Macaca fascicularis: one gene and its partner. The protein of the gene in region 2 interacts with the protein of the main gene of each other region in a pairwise test. Links are inferred from orthologs where the notes say so. Each region holds a gene or a part of one and is shown on either strand. Other genes may lie near its edges.

Region 1 (9,540 bases), on a different chromosome or scaffold from region 2:
ATGATGTGGTGGTGCCTCCCAGGAAATGAAGGAAAAAGAACAGGATGAGGGTAGCACTCAGGGGGATGGGAGGTAAGTTTAGGGTTTGGGGCAGTTATGGGGAAGGGGGTTTCTGGAGGCCAGAAGTCCTATGTTCCCCCTCAGGTGGAACCTGAAAATGCTGCAGTGCCGGAGCTGCCTGCAGTGGTTCCATGAGGCCTGCACCCAGTGTCTGAGCAAGCCCCTCCTCTATGGGGACAGGTGAGACCAAGGCAGACTCTCCAGAAGCCAAGGTGTTCTCTTCGTGCTCCACCCTCAGTTCCCATGCCTGTCTCCACTCCAGTCTCTTCCCAATATCTGCAGCATTACCTCACCTGTTTGCCCCATCCTTGCTTGTGAGTCCTCCAGGGGATGGCATAGTTTTCCTGCGTAAGTGTGTGTTCTCCCTCTTGCCCACGTCCAGGTTCTATGAATTTGAATGCTGTGTGTGTCGTGGAGGCCCTGAGAAAGTCCGGAGACTACAGCTTCGCTGGTGAGCTGGCTTGGGCATGACCTCAGTGTAACTCCACACCCCTAGTATTTTACTCTGTATGCCCCAGCCTCGCACCTCAGGACTCCCCTGGCTCTTAAAATGCCTCTGTGGTCTTGGAAATTTTGTTTTTCCAGGGTGGATGTGGCCCATCTTGTCCTGTATCACCTCAGCGTTTGCTGTAAGAAGAAATACTTTGATTTTGATCGTGAGATCCTCCCCTTCACTTCTGAGAATTGGGACAGTTTGCTTCTGGGGGAGGTAAGGGGTAGTGCAGTTTTGGGGGTTGGGATGGGACAGGGAGATGTAGTGGAAAGGGGAAGAGAAGAAATCACTGTTCCCCTGGCCCCATTTTTCTTCATTCCTCCCAGCTTTCAGACACCCCCAAAGGAGAACGTTCTTCCAAGCTCCTCTCTGCTCTCAACAGCCACAAGGACCGGTGAGTTGGAGGGAGGAGGAGTCTAGGATGAGACTCAGAAAGAGATGTAAGGCCGGGCGCGGTGGCTCAAGCCTGTAATCCCAGCACTTTGGGAGGCCGAGACGGGCGGATCACGAGGTCAGGAGATCGAGACCATCCTGGCTAACACAGTGAAACCCCGTCTCTACTAAAAATACAAAAAACTTAGCCGGGCGAGGTGGCGGGCGCCTGTAGTCCCAGCTACTCGGGAGGCTGAGGCAGGAGAATGGCGTGAACCCGGGAGGCAGAGCTTGCAGTGAGCTGAGATCCGGCCACTGCACTCCAGCCTGGGTGACAGAGCGAGACTCCGTCTCAAAAAAAATAAAAAATAAAAAAAAAAAAAAGAAAGAGATGTAGATTGGAAGCCTGGAAGGGGAGGGGCTTGCAACCCACCTGGAAGACTATGACTGAAAAGGATTGAGGAATGGTGTAAGAAGGAACCTTTTTTTTTTTTTTTTAACAGCACTGACCCTATATCATTTTTCTTCTTGCTCCAGTTTCATTTCAGGGAGAGAGATTAAGAAGAGGAAATGTTTGTTTGGTCTCCATGCTCGGATGCCCCCCCCTGTGGAGCCCCCTACTGGAGATGGAGCACTCACCAGGTCACTGGTCCAGGGGGGATGGGGGAAATTCTCAGGGTGTTAGTGCTGGCGGGTATATGTATAGAGATGGGGAGGTCTTTGGGGTGTCCGGGAGGGGGCTGGGGGGATAAGGAGGCCTCTTACAGCTTCCCTTCAGGGCAGGGCCCTGGGGGAGGGGTCTCACGTCCCCTGGGGAAGCGCCGGAGGCCGGAGCCAGAGCCCCTGAGGAGGAGGCAGAAGGGGAAAGTGGAGGAGCTGGGGCCACCCTCAGCAGTGCGCAATCAGCCCGAGCCCCGGGAGCAGAGGGAGCGGGCTCATCTGCAGAGGGCACTGCAGGTACCGGGGCAGGGGGAACCCTATGGAGTAAATGGTGGGGTGTGGGAAGGAGTCAAGGATTACCTCTCAGTCCTTTGCCCCCTCTTCTAGGCCTCAGTGTCTCCACCATCCCCCAGCCCTAACCAGACTTACCAGGGCAGCAGCGGCTACAACTTCCGGCCCACAGATGCCCGCTGCCTGCCCAGGTCAGTGCTCCTCTGCCTCTCCCCCACAAAATATGCTCCCATTTATTCACATCTTCTGGACTTTCTCACCCAGAATTATTTTCCCTCTCCCCCTTGGCTACCCACTTCTTGGCCTAGACCAACTTCTAGAACCTAGTGTCTGGTAGCCAGTATTCTGGGGAAGGGAGTCCCTTGTGGGTAGTGTTTGAGCTCTGCACTTCCCCGGGGGAGAAGGTCCTGTTCCCCTGCTTCAGGTCCTGACTTGCCCCACTCCAACCCCAGCAGCCCCATCCGGATGTTTGCTTCCTTCCACCCTTCTGCCAGCACCGCAGGGACCTCTGGGGACGGTGAACCCCCAGACAGGTGAGATTCTATCTTCTATTACCAGCAATGCTCCTCTTCCCCTCTATGTGCTCAAGGCTCTTAGTCTCTAACACTGTTTCTCTGATTCACATGTGCTCTCCATTTCTGCCCATTTCTTACAATTGCCTTCTCTCCCTAGGTCACCCCTGGAACTTCACATTGGTTTCCCCACAGACATCCCTAAAAATGCCCCCCACTCGATGACTGCCTCATCTTCCTCAGTCTCATCCCCATCCCCAGGTCTTCCTAGACGCTCAGCACCCCCTTCTCCCCTGTGCCGTAGTTTGTCTCCTGGGACTGGGGGAGGAGTCCGAGGTGGGGTTGGCTACCTGTCCCGAGGGGACCCTGTCCGGGTCCTTGCTCGGAGAGTACGGCCTGATGGCTCTGTGCAGTACCTGGTTGAGTGGGGAGGAGGGGGCATCTTCTGAACAGCTTGCCTCTGCCCACCTCCCCATTCACACACACCGGCACTTTCATACCCTGACCTCTGACCTCACCTACAGCTGGGATGTACCTGGAGAGATAGGGGATAGTTCTCCCTACTGCCCAGGCTGGAATCCAAGAGTGGGGGGTAGGGAAGAGGCTCTCTTCTCTACCTTCCTTCATGATTCCTGACCCCTCCATCCTTCCCATTTCCTTTGATGTTATTTTGTTACAGCTTTTTAAATATTTTTTAAAATTATTTAACCCCTGGGGGCAGAGACTGAGGAGGGAGGATGATAAGGGATCCCGGACTCTGTATGATTGAAATAAAGAGAAATAAATCTAGCAGCTCGGAGTCATTCTGAAAGATGTAGAGAATACAGGGACTAGAAGCACTTATTCTCCCAACAAATTTGCATACATGACAAGGAAAAAACAGGCAAAAGGCAGAAAGACCTAAAGACAGGATTTATTGGGGGCCCGGTCATCACCTGGAAGTCAGAAGGCATTGAGTATCAAGGGGATCACGGCAGGAACAGGGCTCATCATGGCAGGACTGTGCTGGAGTCAGAAACTGACTCTGTGACCTGGTGCACCCACTGCAGGTATGGAAAGTTCCCCTGTTCCACAGGCAATGCAATTACCTCAGCCACTTCGTAAGGGTGCACAGAACTACAAGATAGGTGGGTGGGGGAAGGGGATTACTCAAAGATTGACCTAAAGGAAGCCACTCCCTCGCGCAAGCAAGTCCCATCCCCACAGTACACCCCCACAGTACACACCGTCACCCCATACATCTCAAAGTTCTCACCGAACAAAATCTGTCAAAGCCGGGACCAAGGAACTTTGGGTTTTAATCATCTAAGGGACAAAGATAAACATGGTTGAATCAAGGAGTGGGACTGAGTTCAGTTTCTCAGAAGAGGGGTAAGGGCTAAAGGGGTCAGGGATTGGGGAAATTTTGTTGGGTGGGGGAAATGTTTCTCACCATCAGCACCTCACTGTCTTCCTCGATCTTCCCTTTCCACTCATAGCTGAAAGGTCAGAGGGGGAGAGTTGTGAGGAGCAAAGAATTTCCCCCAGGAAAGAGGTTCCCAGTCAGCTCCTACAGTTAGGTTAACCCCCCAACTCCTATGACTCACATGGATGTAATCTGAGGGATGAGGTTGACGCAGGCTGCTAGGCGCTTCTCCACCACAGCCCTGGAGTGAAGAGACAGTCCCATTCAGAGTGCCCCATGACCCCAGTTTTTGTACTGGCAGCCCAGAGACAGGCTTGCAGAGCTGAAGAGAGGAGAAAGCGGCACTCTTCTGCCCCACCCCCAACTCTCCCTTCATGATCATCCTTTCTCGCTGAACATCGAGGTCCCTACCTGGCGATCTCCTTGGCGACCTTCTCGTTGGGGCAAGTGACAAAGGCTGCAGACACCGAGCCCGGAACGTAGCCGGAGCCGGAATCCGAGGCTGGCGAGGGCTGGGTCGGAGGGCTTCCAGAGGCCATGGTCAGCAGGGCTCGGGGTAGCAACAAAAGGCGGGAGGCCACAGGCAGCAGCGCCGGCATCCAAACAAAAGACAGGAGCAGAGAAGCCTGAGAGCAGGAGGCGAATTCGATCTCTCCTCACCAACAGCCCAGGAAATTACACCCAGGGAAGCCTCTGCTTAGATACTCAGGCTCTGCCCTCCCTCTGATGTACCCCGAAGAAGAATGCCCCTGAAGGTGAGAGAGAAACTTGGAAAAGTAAAGCAAAGGCTCATTTCACTCACACCTCAGGGGGCCAACCTCTGGGATTTGGGGTGCAGGTAGCGGTCGAGGCTTCGAGGACCGGAAGGGGCGGGACGGGGCCGGTCACTCACCACTCCGCCGAGCAGGACCGCGGGAGCCCGCCCCCTACTCATGCGGCCTACGCTGGTAGAGGAGAGTTGATCTCAGAGGCCACACGTCACACGGAGAAACAACCCCAGGAAGAGCGGCCTCTTACCTGGGTGGCAGCCACGTGATAAGAAAACAGCGCGCACCATGTGACAGTAGAAGGGGGACCACCCGCGCTTCCAGAGCCAGCCAATCCTGGCCCTCTCGTGGCGCGGTTTGCCCGCCTCCTGATGAGGGCGGAGCGATGGGAGACTTGACCAATCGACCGCTGGATCTGCAGACGTGCGCGGAAATGGCACGCCCGTTTCCGTGTGAACCCGAAACTACCACTTGCTGGCTGAGGAGAGCCGCTGCGGCGTTCCACTGTCACGTGAGGGGGCCGGTCCTCTCCGGCGGCGGCACTCAGTGAGTGACGCCAAGTGGCCAATCACAGGCCAGCCCTGCAGGCCACGTGAGGCGAGTGCTGGCTCCAGGAAAGGGGGGGGCCGGAGACCCCGCATAGTCGATGCGTCAGGCTGTGGTGTGGGGAATCATTCTTAAACCCCACAATGTGCCTAACCTCCCCTGCACTGTTTCCGAGGCCTTAAGGTGTGGCAGGGTCTGAGAAAGACCCTTCACCCCAACCTCAGGGGTTAAGAGAGCGCCCCCTGCCATTTTAGTTGGGACAGAGATATGCCTGGGTTTGGGAATGAACAACGGTGATCTAGAAGCCCGCTGTCCCTGCGTAGCGGGGAGTGATTAGGCAGGCATGGGCATGGCACGACAATAGCTAGGTGAGGAAAGATGCATTTTAAAACAGAGCGAGATCCTGTAAATGGGGTAGAGGATGGTGAAAATGGGGCCTAGCCATCTTAATTGAAAACCCAAAGCTTGAGACAGACTACTGAATCAGAGGGAAGGAGAACGAGGGCTGCAGGATGGGGACAGTGGTGATGGTCCTTCTGTCCCCTCTTCCCTGCCTATTCCACTCCCCAGGATTGGTCCACCTCTCAGCCTTGGGTCTCCTTTCCCTAACCCATCCCCTGAGGAGCCAGGACCTGCCCTACATAACTTCCCTGGGGCCCAAGCACATCCTGTGACCCAAAAATGGAGAGAGGGGCCAGTGAGAGGCAGAGAGGTGGGAGGAGGCGCAGAGAAAAAAGCTCTTGCCACTGCCCCCACCCAATATTTCCCCTCCCTTCAAGGTCTGAGGTCATTGGTCTGGTGGTGGGGATGCCTCGGAGTTTCCCAGGCTGACGTCAGTGTTCTACCTCTCGGAGGTTCTAGGGCAGGGAAGTGGGGAGGGGAGGTTCCCTGAGATCTCTGTCTTTGAGTTTGGAGTTTGTCTCTGAGACAGATTTCGGAGGGGTCTTTCAGTATTTGTGTGGAGATCTTTCTTAGGACTGAGTTTCCTTTTATGTTTTTGGTCTGGGGGGTTTCTATGTTTCAGGGTCTGTGGTCGCACTCTGAGGTCTTTCGAAGTCTTCTTCATGAATTTTGGGTCTCTGAGTTGTCCATCTCTGGACCAGCTGAGGTCTCTCTCTATCTCCCCTTAAATCTGGAGTGTCTCTGTCTCTGAGTTATCAGTCTCTGAGATCTGAGTCTGGGGTCTCTCTCTAGGTCTGAGTTCTCTAAGCTCTAATTCTACATCTGGCTCTTTCTGAATCTGGGCCTCATCTTTTTCTGAGTCTAGGTCTCAGGTCCTGGTCCCTGAAATCATCATCTCAGGGTCTGGAGTCTAAGATGTCTGTGGGTATGGAGAACCTTTTTGAGCCTGGATTCTCAGATTTTGATCTTGGGTTCCTCTCTCTGGGGGATCTGGGGTCGTTTTTTCCTCAAATCAGGAGTCTCTTTTCCTCTAGATTTTGGGCCTGTGTCTCAAATTAACCCACGGTGGGGGGTGGTGAAGTATCTTTCTCTGTGGGTCTAGGGTCTCTCTCTCAGGGTCTGGGGTCTGCATCTTTAGCACCTCTGTCTTTCTCTGGTGTGTTTTTGAGTCAGGGGTCTCTCTCTCTCACAATCTGGGCCTCCCCGAGTAGGGGTGGGGGCTGCAGAGTCTCTCCCTCCTCCTCCTCCTCCTGCTCTCTTAGCTCTCGCTCGCTCCCCCGCCCCCCCTCTCTCTCGGCTGCCGCTGCTGCCGTTGGCTCTTATTCTCCTCCTCCTCCTCCTCTCTCCTCCTCTCTGCTTCTCTCTGCTCCTCTCTCCTCCTCTCTCCTCCTCCTCCTCCTCCACCTCCTCCTCCTTCTCCCCCTCTTTCTCCCCCTCTTTCTCTCTTCTTTCTCCCCCGTCCCCCCGCCCCCTCCCCCCAGGCCTGATGAGCAGGTCTCGAGCCTCCATCCATCGGGGGAGCATCCCCGCGATGTCCTATGCCCCCTTCAGAGGTACGTGGTGGGGGGAGGGGGAGGGCCATATGGGGGGCAACAGGGGGAGGGGCAGGGGGCGGGGGAGAGTCGGGGCCAAGGGAGGGGAGCGGCTGAAATGGAGAGAGAGGGGAGGACCGGGAAGGCAGGGGTGGGAGCAACCGGGAAGGAGGGATTGGAGGCCAGAGGGAGAGGGGTAGATAAGGGACGGAGGGGCCAGGAAATGGGCCTTGAAAGGGGGCTGAAGGGAAAATGATGAAGGGGGAAGAAAGCGCCAGAAAGGGGTGGGAAGGTAGAAGGATTGGGTTGGGGAAAAAGCTGCAGAAATAATTTGGGGGTGGGAGCTGAGTGATGAGGAAAACATCAAGGAAATAGAGGGACAGAGTCTTGGAAGAGGGGCTAGGAGGGAGAAATGAAAACATAGGGGTGAAAAGAGAAGCCAAGAAGATGTGGGGGGAGAATTTGGTGGGGGACTCAGAGTATGGTAAGGGGTGGAAAAAGAGAGGAGGATGGAGGGAGAGAAGGGGCCAGATGGAGAGAGAGGGAGGCAGTGGGGGGTGGGGGGATGGAGGGTCCAGATGGAGGGAAGAGAGGAGAGATGGAATGGTGGGGGAGGGGAGACCAGGGCAGGGGGAGGGCCAAATTATGTGTGCTTGGTGGGGTGGCAATATAAGTAAAATTAAGTGATGGGAGTAGGGGACAGGTTAGGATCCTGCCCCAGCCTCTGACCCTCTTAAAGGCTCTTGACCAGTGAAATGTAACCTCTGGGGTCTTAATGCTGTCTTCACTTCATCACTTTTACCCCCTTCCCCCACCCCTCCAATCCTTATTTCCATTCCCCCTCCCTCCTCTGCTGTCCATCACCTATATCTTTCCCCCCATATGGTGTCCGTTCCTTATATGAGTCCCCCTTCTGTCCTTCCCCTATATCAGTCCCCTCTCTGGTGTCCATTGCCTCTCTCTATCTCTTTTCTATGTGGTCGCTCCCTTATATCTCTATCGCTTCTCTACTAGTCTGTCTTGACCCCTTGTCATAGCCCCCGCATTAGGTCTGCCTCCTTTGCTCTGACACGTCCAGTCGAGCCCTTCAGGTGTATTCCCTTGCCCCTAGGCATTTACTATCATTTCTGCCTCCTTTTCTTTTATATCTACTCCTATTATTTGTCCCCCAGACCATTCCTTGTCACCACAAGTCTGTGCCTACCCACTTTCCCTTAATACCTCAACTCTTATTATCATTTCTCTTTTCTTGTCTCCTCTACTTATTGGGGTGTTGGAGATTTGGGTTACAAAGACACAGGTTTTGATGATTAGAACAAGGGATCCCCATCTCAGCCCTTAAGAGATTTCTCATGCTAGTAAAAATTTTCCCTTTCTCAGTCATGTTCCTCTGCCTCTTGCATCTGCCTCCCAGAATCATTCTTCACCAAGTCCAGACAGTGTGTGTGTGTGTGTGTGTGTGTTTCTAGAGTTGTTCCTGAGTTCCCTGCTGCCAGGAGAAAGATGCCCTCTGAAGTCTAACCTGCCTCCCTTGGCTGCAGCCTGAACCAGCCCTTTCCCAAGATGCTTATGTGTATCAACAGATTTCTCTTGAGTATACCAAATGTCTAAGTGCGGTGGGCATGTTGCCAGCAATGTCTGTAGTTTCAGAGGCTAGGTATTGGTGATCTTTGTGTCTAGAGAACATTAGTTAGTCTCTGGAAATGGGTTGAGATAGAGTTTCAAAGTATTGTGGTTTCTAGATGGTGGACATTCTGAGGTGGACATTCATCGCTCACTGTGATCTGGAGGCTGGGTAAATTTGAGAGATATATTTATAGACAGAAAAGGGCTGAATTTGCAAAACTCTGCTACTCAGTGCATTCTGTTGGAATGAAGCTCAAAGACCAGTTCTCCTGCAGTATACTCATGGTTATCCCATAAAAGTGACAGAGTTTGATCTTTTTTTCCATCTAAAATCTGATACCTTAAGCTGATTTCTCTTTGCTGTCACCAATGTGACATCTCTCTTACTTCAATAGGGCCTGTGTGGCATTGGGGTTTAAAGGAGAGGCAGTTTGCAGGAAAAGCGGTATGGCAAGAACAACAGAATTGGGGAAGGAGGACCCTGGGATCATCTCAGCCATGGGTGACACTTGGTCTACTATTCTCTCTTCTGAAAGTTTTGTTCCCATCTCCAGCTCTCGTCTTTGGAGGCCCCTCTATGTCACCAGGCCTGGATATTCCAGTCTTTCCCCCTGACCTCTTTCTTCCTCAGGCTCTTCACTGTGCCTTGGGAAGGCTCCTAACCTATGGAGTGGCTTCCATCCTGTCCATTGAGACTAGGTGGGGGGAGGTGGTGGGGGCAGTGTTGAATCTCTGGGCACTGAATGGGGGAAGAGATAAATTTGGTCTCTACTCGTCCAAACAAGGGCATCTTTCTCACATTCTGCCCTGGCCCCTCCACAGCCAGATGCCGACAAAAGCCATCTTCTCCTTAACACCAGAAGAACCAGAACTT
Region 2 (9,798 bases):
GTGCCACTGCACTCCAGCCTGGGGGACAGAGTGAGACTCCATCTCAAAAAAAAAAAAGATCCTTAACTTATCCCATCTGAAAGCCTCTTTTTCCGGGCAAGGTAACGTTCACGGGGTCCAGAGATAAGGACCTGAATATCTTTGGGGGCATCTCTTAGCTACCACACGAGGTCACATAAGATGGCCAAGCAGCTGGGATTCTACTCCACACCCATGTGGCTCTGGAGGCTGCCATCAGTCTTGCCACCATCTCCCCTAGAGCCACAAGGTTCCAATGTTTGATCTCACGGAATCTGTGTTGCTTCCGGGTACCAAGTGCCATCTGGGAGAGCCAGTTGGGATGCCAGCATACTGGAATTTCTAACTCTTGGATGGTTTGTGGTGGCATGTCAAGGGTGGCGACCACCCACAGCCACATCCCCTGGGTATGTGTGTAGGCCACACCTGGAAATCAGCATTTTGAGCAAGTGTCTCAGGTGATTCTCATGCATATAGAAGTTTGAAAACGGCTGATTTGAGGGGTTAGAGTATTTGGAGCTGAGACTGTCCGGAAGAATCCAAACAATCCAATCCCAGGCTCACCACCAGTGAGGCACTGTGGGAGGAGAGAGGAGCCAGGCCCTCCCTGCCGTGTCCCTGTGACCCCATCAATATGATGGGGGAGTGTCCCTCAGGGGTGAGACACTGGGGGAGGAGGGGTGAGGAGGGGTGTCTAGCTGAAAGCAGCCAAGAGGAAGACTTGATCAGTGTGCTGGGGAGAGAAGGGCCGTGCCCATGAGAGGGAGGGTGGGAGTGGGAGATGCCCCTACATCTGTCCAGGTGGCGTCAAGGTAAAATGCACAGGAGCACAGCCAGGAAGGAGAGACAGCATGTCCAGGAGAAAAGGTGGAAAGGCTAGAGGGAGGCCCGCTGCCCTGCCTCAGGTATCTCTTTATCATTGCTCCTTATTCCAGGAGGAATTTGAGGCAGCTTCTATGAATGCATATATACCAGCCAGGCGCGGTGGCTCACACCTGCAATCTCAGCACTTCAGGAGGCTGAGGTGGGAGGATTACTTGAGGTCAGGAGTTCGAGACCAGCCTGGACAACATGGCAAGACTCCACCTCTATTTTAAAATAGTTATTTTTTATTAAAACGTGTTTTTAAAGAGAATGCATGTATACCTATAGACCGCAATGATATAGGTGCACTGAAAAATTCCACGTGATTCTCCCGCCTCAGCTTCCCAAGTAGCTGGGATTACAGGTGCCTACCACCATGCCCAGCTGGTTTTTTTGTTTGTTGGTTGGTTGGTTTTTTTTGTTTTTTTGTTTTTTGTATTTTTAGTAGAGACAGGGGTTTTCACCATGTTGGATTGGCCAGGCTTGTCTGGAACTCCTGACCTCAGGAGATCCACCTGCCTTGGCCTCCCAAAGTCCAGGGATTACAGGCATAAGCCACCTTGCCTGGCACATTTCTTCTTAAAGGCGTCATATAAAATTATATTAACTGGCTGGGTGCCGTGGCTCATGCCAGGCCGAGGCAGGCAGATCACCTGAGGTTAGGAGTTCGAGACCAGCCTGACCAAAATGGAAAAACCCTGTCTCTACTAAAAATACAAAAACTAGCCAGGCACAGTGGTGCATGCCTGTAATCCCAGCTACTCCGGAGGCTGAGGCAGGAGAATTGCTTGAACCCAGGAGGCGGAGGCTGCAGTGAGTCAAGATCGCACCACTGCATTCCAGTCTGGGCGACAGAGCAAGACTCCATCTCAAAAAAAAGAAAAAGCCTGGGCACAGTGGCTCATGCCTGTAATCCCAGCACTTTGGGAGGCCGAGGCAGGCGGATCACCTGAGGTCAGGAGTTCAAGAGCAGCCTGGCCAACATGGAGAAACCCCGTCTCTACTAAAAATACAAAAAATTAGCCTGGGTGTTGGTACATGTCTGTAATCCCAGCTACTTGGGAGGCTGAGGCAGGAGATTTGCTTTAACCCAGGAGGCGAGGTTGTGGTGAGCCAAGATTGCACCATTGCACTTCAACCTGGGTGACAAGAGCGAAACTCCGCCTCAGGAAAAAAAAAAAAGGTAGATCTCATGTTAAGTGTTCTTCCAACAATAAAACAATTTGTAAAAGACTGCAATAATACTATGATATGTAAAATAAAGACATCCAAACAGAAGGAAAATCAAAATAGAAAGTGAGACGAGATCAAAGGGAATGTTACGACCCACCGTGTGTGAGGATGCCAGACAGGGAGGCTCACGCCTATAATCCCAGCACTTTGGGAGGCTAAGGCAGGTCGATCACTTGAGGTCAGGAGTTCGAAACCAGCCTGGCCAACATAGTGGAACACCATGTCTACAAAAAATACAAAAAATTAGCCAGGCGTGGTAACATGCACCTGTAGTTCCAGCTACTCAGGAGGCTGAGGCATGAGAATCACTTGAACCTCATGTAGAGGATGCAGTGAGCTGAGATTGGGGCACTGCACTCCAGCCTCAGTAACAGAGTGAGACTTTGTCCCAAAACAAAACAAAAACCAAATAACAACAAAAAAGCCCTATAATGGTTTCGAAATATGAAATGTGGAATTTGGCTCTGAGCTTCCAAGTGGCCAAATGGAAAAGGGAAAGAATTTCAAGGCTTCTTGTCTATATGATAAAAGCACCCAATTCTCCTGAGAATTCCTTTTCCTGACCCTGAGGTTTAAGCGAAGTTTCTCCTATGAGCTCTTTGAACCCTGACCTTAAACATATCCCAGTAACAAGAAATGTAGTCATAGCATCAGGGCATCAGGGCAGTATTCCTTACAGTAAGCCAAGGATGCAAGGCTAAGCTCAATTTGTTATAAGCAATGGTGGAGGTTTTGGGCGATAGTTACAGGTTGTCTGCAGGCCTCTCCTGTACTTCCCAATTCCTGGGCCCCCGAGGGCAGGCTCCCAGAAGAAGAGACCCTTGTGGGTTGGAGTGGGTGTGCCGTGGATGACTCTGGCAGTGGCCTCTGTCCCAGGACACGTTGGAGAAGTGCGGCAAGTGTGGCGAAGTGGTCCAGGACCACATCATCAGGGCCCTGGGCCAGGCCTTCCACCCCTCCTGCTTCACGTGTGTGACCTGCGCCCGGTGCATTGGGGATGAGAGCTTTGCCCTGGGCAGCCAGAACGAGGTGTACTGCCTGGATGACTTCTACAGGTACGAGAGGGGTTTGGCACCAGGTGGGGTGCAGGGACAGGGCGAGATCCAAGCAGGATGAAGGAGCCGAGCCTGAGTCCTGGGTGCTGGGCCAGAGTTTCCTGTCTACTGGTTTATTATAAAGAATATTACAGGCCGGGCGCGGTGGCTCAAGCCTGTAATCCCAGCACTTTGGGAGGCCGAGACGGGTGGATCACGAGGTCAGGAGATCGAGACCATCCTGGCTAACACGGTGAAACCCCGTCTCTACTAAAAAATACAAAAAAAAACTAGCCGGGCGAGGTGGCGGGCGCCTGTAGTCCCAGCTACTCAGGAGGCTGAGGCAGGAGAATGGCGTGAACCCGGGAGGCGGAGCTTGCAGTGAGCTGAGATCCGGCCACTACACTCCAGCCTGGGAGACAGAGCGAGACTCCGTCTCAAAAAAAAAAAAAAAAAAAGAATATTACAGGGCTGGACCGGGCACAGTGGCTCATGCCCATAATCCCAGCATTTTGGGAGACTGAGGAGGGTGGATCACGAGTTCAGGAGATTGAGACCATCCTAGCTAACACGGTGAAACCCCATCTCTACTAACAATACAAAAAAAATTAGCCAGGCCTGGTGGCGGGCGCCTGTAGTCCCAGCTACTCAGGAGGCCGAGGCAGGAGAATGGCGTGAACCCGGAAGGTGGAGCTTACAGTGAGCTGAGATCGTGCCACTGCACTCCAGCCTGGGCGACAGAGCTAGACTCCATCTCAAGCAAAACAAAGCAAAAAACTAAAAAATATATATAATGTCACAGGCAGGTACTATTAAGGGTTCTGTTTTACCAACCAAGGCACACAGCAGCTAAGTACCCAAAGTCTCTCCACAGGTAAGTATTGAAACTCTTGGTAAGTATGCACATCCCCAAGGACCTGACTTTCGGGCCCTGCTCTGAAACCCCAGACCTCTGGGTCTGCCCTTGGAGCTGAATGACGCAGTGGGGACACATCTGTTGGACTCAATCCCTGCCCATGAGTTGCTCACCACTCAAGGGGAGAGACAGATGTGCCTCTTAAGAAAGAAGTACTGGCTGGGCACAGCGGCTCACACCTGTAATCCCAGCACTTTGGGAGGCCAAGGTGGGCGGATCACGAGGTCAGGAGTTCAAGACCAGCCTGACCAACATGGTGAAACCCTGTGGTCGCTACTCAAAATGCAAAAATTAGCTGGGCATAGTAGCGCCTGCCTGTAGTCCCAGCTGCTCAGGAGGCTGAGGCAGGAGAATCGCTTGAACCTGGGAGGCGGAGGTTGCAGTGAGCGGAGATTGTGCCATTGCACTCCAGCCTGGGTGACAAGAGCCAAAAAACTCCGTCTCAAAAAAAAAAAAAAAGACAGATGAGATGGGTCCCAGCCCCACTGAACACAGTTCTCAATTCAGGCAATCTCCAGTGATGCTGGGAAACCAGGTCTCATTACACAGGTCTCTCCACCTGCTCCTGCCAGGAAGAAATAGACATCTCTGCTTATAGCTGCTAATGCAGTCCCATAGCAACGGGACTGAAATTGCTCAGGAGGTGAACACCAGCCAGCCCGAGTTCTGACAGCTAATTAATTTATGTGGTTGTGGCATGAACGCCTCCCAAGCATGGGTTTCTTTGCTTCTAGGAAATTCGCCCCCGTCTGCAGCATCTGTGAAAATCCCATCATTCCTCGGGATGGGAAAGATGCCTTCAAAATCGAGTGCATGGGAAGAAACTTCCATGAAAATTGCTATAGGTGTGAGGTGAGTAGAGCCCAGGTGGTTTAATAATATTCCATCGCTGCATTGCCAGGCCCTTGGCTGGGTTGCTTGGACATGGGGACAGGTCAGGGTGGGGGCTGTACTCTCAAATTGCTCACTGTCCAGTAGGAGAAACAAAAGATGCTGGAAATACAACTATAGTCTATTATCAACTCTTCGCGTTAATGATAAGAAACCAAACTCGGGGCTGGGCGCGGTGGCTCACGCCTGTAATCCCAGCACTTTGGGAGGCCGAGGCGGGTGGATCACGAGGTCAGGAGATCGAGACCATCCTGGGTAACACGGTGAAACCCCGTCTCTACCAAAAATACAAAAAAAAATCAGCCGGGCGCGGTGGCGGGCGCCTGTAGTCCCAGCTACTCGGGAGGCTGAGGCAGGAGAATGGCATGAACCTGGGAGGCGGAGCTTGCAGTGAGCCGAGATCGCGCCACTGCACTCCAGCCTGGGTGACAGAGCAAGACTCTGTCTCAAAAAAAAAAAAAAAAAAAAAAAAGAAACCAAACTCAAGTTGCTTTCTACAAAAAAGAGAATCTGTTGGCTAATGGTGGTGGAAACACTGATGGTATTGAGTGATGGCATCAGGACTCTCTCCATCTTTCTTTCTCTCTTTCTTTCTTTCTTTCTTTCTTTCTTTCTTTCTTTCTTTCTTTCTTTCTTTCTCTCTCTCTCTCTCTCTCTCTCTCTCTCTCTCTTTCTTTCTTTCTTTCTTTCTTTCTTTCTTTCATTTTTTTTTTTTTTGGAGGTAGTCTTACTTTTGTTGCCAGGCTGGAGTGAAGTGGTATGATCTCAGCTCACTGCAACCTCCGCCTTTTGGGTTCAGCAATTCTCCTGCCTCAGCCTCCCAAGTAGCTAGAATTACAGGCATGCACCACCGCACCTGGCTAGTTTCTGTATTTTTAGTAGAGATGGGGTTTCACCATGTTGGCCAGGTGGGTCTCAGGTGATCCGTCCACTCCACCTCCCAATGTGCTGGGATTACAGGCATGAGCCAACGCTCCCGGCCTCTTTTCCATCTCTTGTCTCTGCCTTTTTTATGTGTTTGCTTCATTTTTGCTGCCTGTGGGCTGGCCTTCTCTGTGGGGAGGTGGGGCACAGTGCATGGGCAGAGGTGGCCCAGGTTTACATCTCCCCGGCTTAGAAACCCTAGGGGAAAGACAGAGCACACCACATCCAGGGAAGCCAGACTGTCTCTAGAAGGCCTCTAATCACCCCAGCTAGGGTCACATGCCCATTCAGGGCCAGTCACTGTGGCTGGGTGCTAGGATTGATAACCCCTGGGGCCAGGGAGGCAGAACCACATAAAAAAAGAGGGGTTGCTATAACCGGAGGAAGGGAGAAGAGGATGCTGGACAGATCTACACCACGTACCTTTTCCGGGTGCCAGGCAAGAGAATGTAGAAATCAGCTTTCTTCCAGAGTGCTGGGATTACAGGCATGAGCCACTGCTCCCGGCCAGAAGTGGAAGTCTGTAGATGTGACTGGAGTGTAGAGGGCTGGGGTTATGGTTAATGTTTAGGCCAGAGTGAAGGAAAGGGCTGCAGTGCCAGACTAGAGAGTCTGGACTTTAGGCTGCAGAGAGGGGTCAGGCTGAGATGGGCGAGCTGATTAGAAACTGGTGCAGTTGTCCCAGGAAGAAGGGCCCAGGTGTCGTCACACGTGACTTGGCAATCAGACGGGTCCTATGCTAGCTTTAAAGTTCTGCTATTGCTCTCTTTAAAGTCTTGATTTTTTTTGTTTGTTTTTATTTTTATTTTTATTTATTTATTTTTGAGATGGAGTCTCGCTCTGTCACCCAGGCTGGAGTGCAGTGGCGCGATCTCGGCTCACTGCAAGCTCCGCCTCCCGGGTTCACGCCATTCCCCTGCCTCAGCCTCCCGAGTAGCTGGGACTACAGGCACCTGCCACCACACCCGGCTAATTTTTTTGGTATTTTTTAGTACAGATGGGATTTCACTGTATTAGCCAGGATGGTCTCAATCTCATGACCCCGTGATCCGCCCGCCTGAGCCTCCCCAAGTGCTGGGATTACAGGCGTGAGCCACTGCGCCCGGCCTTTGTTTTTAATAGAGACAGAGACTGGAGTCAGGCTGGAGTGCAGTAGTGTAATCATAGCTCACTGTAGCCTTAAAATTTTGGGCTCAAGCAGTTCTCTCACCTTAGCATCCTGAGTAGCTGTAAGTACAGGTGCCCACCACCACACCCAGCTAATTTTTTTATTTTTTAAATTTTTATAGAGATGACTTCTCTACAAAAATTTGCCCAGGCTGGTCTTGAACTCCTGGGCTCAAGCGATTCTCTCACTTTGGCCTCCCAAAGTGCTGAGATCACATGCATGAGCCACTACCTACAGCCTGAAATTCTTAGTTTTTTTTTTTCTTTTCTTTTTTTTTTTTTAGAGACTGAGTCTCACTTTGTTCCCCAAGCTGGAGTACAGTGGCACTATCTCAGCTCACTGCAACCTCTGCCTCTCAGGTTCAAGCAACTCTCTTGCCTCAGCCTCCCGAGTAGCTGGAATGACAGGCTCGCACTACTGTGCCCGGGTAATTTTTGTATTTTTAGTAGAGACAGGGTTTCGCCATGTTGACCAGGCTGGTGTTAAACTCCTGATCTCAAGTGATCTGCCCACCTTGGCCTCCCAAAGTGCTGGGTGGCGTGAGCCACTACACCCAGCCAAAATTCTTAATTTCTGAACAAGGGGTCCCACATTTTAATTTTGTCCAAGATCCTACAAATTATGTAGTCAGTCCTGCTGAGGAGGCTCAGAAATCCTCTCCCACCCCTTCTACTGCCGGCTCCTTGTCACTGAAGCTTCTGTTTTCTCCGGTGATGGTGACAAAGTGGCAACTTTTATGGGGGGGACCTAAGTGGAGAGCCCCAGAGCAGATCTCTTACTCCATGAGTATTTCGAAACACTTGTTCACTCCCACTTATATAAACAGATACTGGGACCCAAAGACTATTTTCACTGAGGTTGTCAAAGGAGCTGGGTAGAGAAGTTGATAAATTGCTGCGTAATTACATTGTCTTTGTTGGTTATAGTTCAAAGTCCTGCTGATAGTGCATTTTGAAAGCCCAATGAGGAAGTTTAAATGCTGTTATCCCCACCATTGTCCTAATGAGTCCAGCAGTGACTGGCACTTTCCTGAGCCAGGAAGTCAGGAAGTGAATAAATCCCCACAGTGGTCTTGGTGATGTGGCCAAGGGTGGTGTAGTAAGTCAGCATTTGGACTCCAGAAGTTATGTGTCAGAAGATGAGGCTTCTTGACCAGGCACGGTGGCTCATGCTGGTAATCCCAGCACTTCGGGAGGCCCAGGCGGATGGATCACTTGCATTCAGGAGTTCAAGACCAGCCTGGCCAACATGGCGAAACCCAGTTTCTACTAAAAATACAAAAATTAGGCCAGGTGCAGTGGCTCACTCCTGTAATCCCAGCACTTTGGGAGGCTGAGGCAGGCGGATCACGAGGTCAAGAGATGGAGACCATCCTGGCCAACATGGTGAAATCCCATCTCTACTAAAAATACAAAAATTACCTGGGTGTGGTGGTGTGTGTCTGTAATCCCAGCTACTCGGGAAGGTGAGACAGGAGAATTGCTTGAATCCAGGAGGCAGAGGTTGCAGTGGGCCGAGATTGCACCACTGTGCTCCACACTGACGACAGAGTAAGACTCCGTCTCAAAAAAAAAATTAGCTGGGTATGCTGGCGCACGCCTGCAGTCCCAACTACTTGGGAGGCTGAGGCAGGAGAATCGCTTGAACCCAGGAGGCAGAGGTTGCAGTGAGCTGAGATTGTGCCACTGCACTCTAGCCATCTACCCTGGGCAATAGAGCAAGATTCCATCTCAAAAAAAAAAAAAAAAAAATGAGGCTCTTGAAACACAGCAGCCTGAAAGGAGTTGAGTGCTGTTACCTAAGAAGAAAGTGGGTTTCCATGCACTGCCCACACCCACATCTCACCATTTCTACTTGCTTTGGGGTCCATATTATTTATGACTATTGTTGGAAGGATAACAATGCTTTTATATGTAGGTAGTATTTTTAAATTTATAAAATGCTTTCATTGACATCACCTTGTTTAATCCTAGTGACAGTCTTGTGAGATGGAATTTATTGTCCCCATTAAGATGGGGAAACTGGTGGGGTGCGGTGGCTCACACCTATGATCCCAGCACTTTGGGAGGCTGAGGCAGGAGGATCACTTGAGCCCAGGAGTTCAAAGCCAGCCTGCACAGTAAGACCTCATCTTACAAAAAATTTGAAAACATTAGCCAGGCATGGTTGTACCCTTCTGTAGTTACAGCTACTTTGGAAGCTGAGGCAGGAGGATTGCTTGAGCCTGGCAGGTGGAGGCTGCAGTGAGCCATGATCATGCCACTGCACTCTAGCCTGGGTGACAGAGCGAGACCCTATCTTTAAAAAAAAAGGAAACAGGCAAACAGTCTCAGAAAACGGGTTCCAGCCGTGCTTGTGTGGGCTGGGTTCAGTGACGTTTCAGCCACTGCACAGCTGCCTTACAGAGGTTGTGAGACTTGGTGGTAGATGAAGTATTTTCTCCAGTTGGTTCTAATTTAGGAGGGGTCTCATGTGGCCCTCCAGCATGTGTTACAATGCCAAACAGGTGGTACAGATGCTGCAGTTGTGTAGCCCGTGGTCCACTTGAGAGACCCAAGTGGCCTTGCAGGGAGGAGACACATAGGAGCACCTCACCCAGCTGACCATGGAGGAAGGCAGATTGCAGACCCTGGTCCCTACTGCATCAGGAGGCCCACCTGTGACCCCAAAGTAGTCCCTATAGGGACTCTTTTTTTCTTTCTTTTGAGACGGACTCTCACCCTGTCTTCCAGGCTTGAGTACAATGTCAT

Evidence for each region. The genes of interacting proteins can lie anywhere in the genome.
Region 1: the proteins of FBLIM1 (region 2) and CUTA interact in binary tests that used the Homo sapiens proteins (3 or more experiments, as listed by UniProt). The two-hybrid records come from large-scale screens. The link is inferred for Macaca fascicularis from reciprocal best matches to the Homo sapiens genes FBLIM1 and CUTA.

The regions. Positions count from the first base shown.
Region 1 is NC_088378.1:138,270,952-138,280,491, reverse strand, and holds CUTA (protein CutA), read right to left. Parts: upstream 4,839-9,540; 5' UTR 4,811-4,838; exon of another isoform or gene 4,738-4,810; 5' UTR 4,728-4,737; coding exon 4,686-4,727; exon of another isoform or gene 4,598-4,685; intron 4,420-4,597; coding exon 4,205-4,419; intron 4,035-4,204; coding exon 3,975-4,034; intron 3,867-3,974; coding exon 3,821-3,866; intron 3,694-3,820; coding exon 3,644-3,693; intron 3,505-3,643; coding exon 3,378-3,504; 3' UTR 3,286-3,377; downstream 1-3,285. Other genes in the region: PHF1 (PHD finger protein 1), read left to right, coding at 145-240, 443-511, 646-769, 880-947, 1,463-1,567, 1,693-1,882, 1,973-2,067, 2,329-2,409 and 1 more; SYNGAP1 (ras/Rap GTPase-activating protein SynGAP), read left to right, coding at 6,995-7,061. UniProt on the Homo sapiens protein: May form part of a complex of membrane proteins attached to acetylcholinesterase (AChE).
Region 2 is NC_088375.1:219,337,037-219,346,834, reverse strand, and holds part of FBLIM1 (filamin-binding LIM protein 1), read left to right. Parts: intron 1-2,991; coding exon 2,992-3,170; intron 3,171-4,799; coding exon 4,800-4,917; intron 4,918-9,798. UniProt on the Homo sapiens protein: Serves as an anchoring site for cell-ECM adhesion proteins and filamin-containing actin filaments. Is implicated in cell shape modulation (spreading) and motility.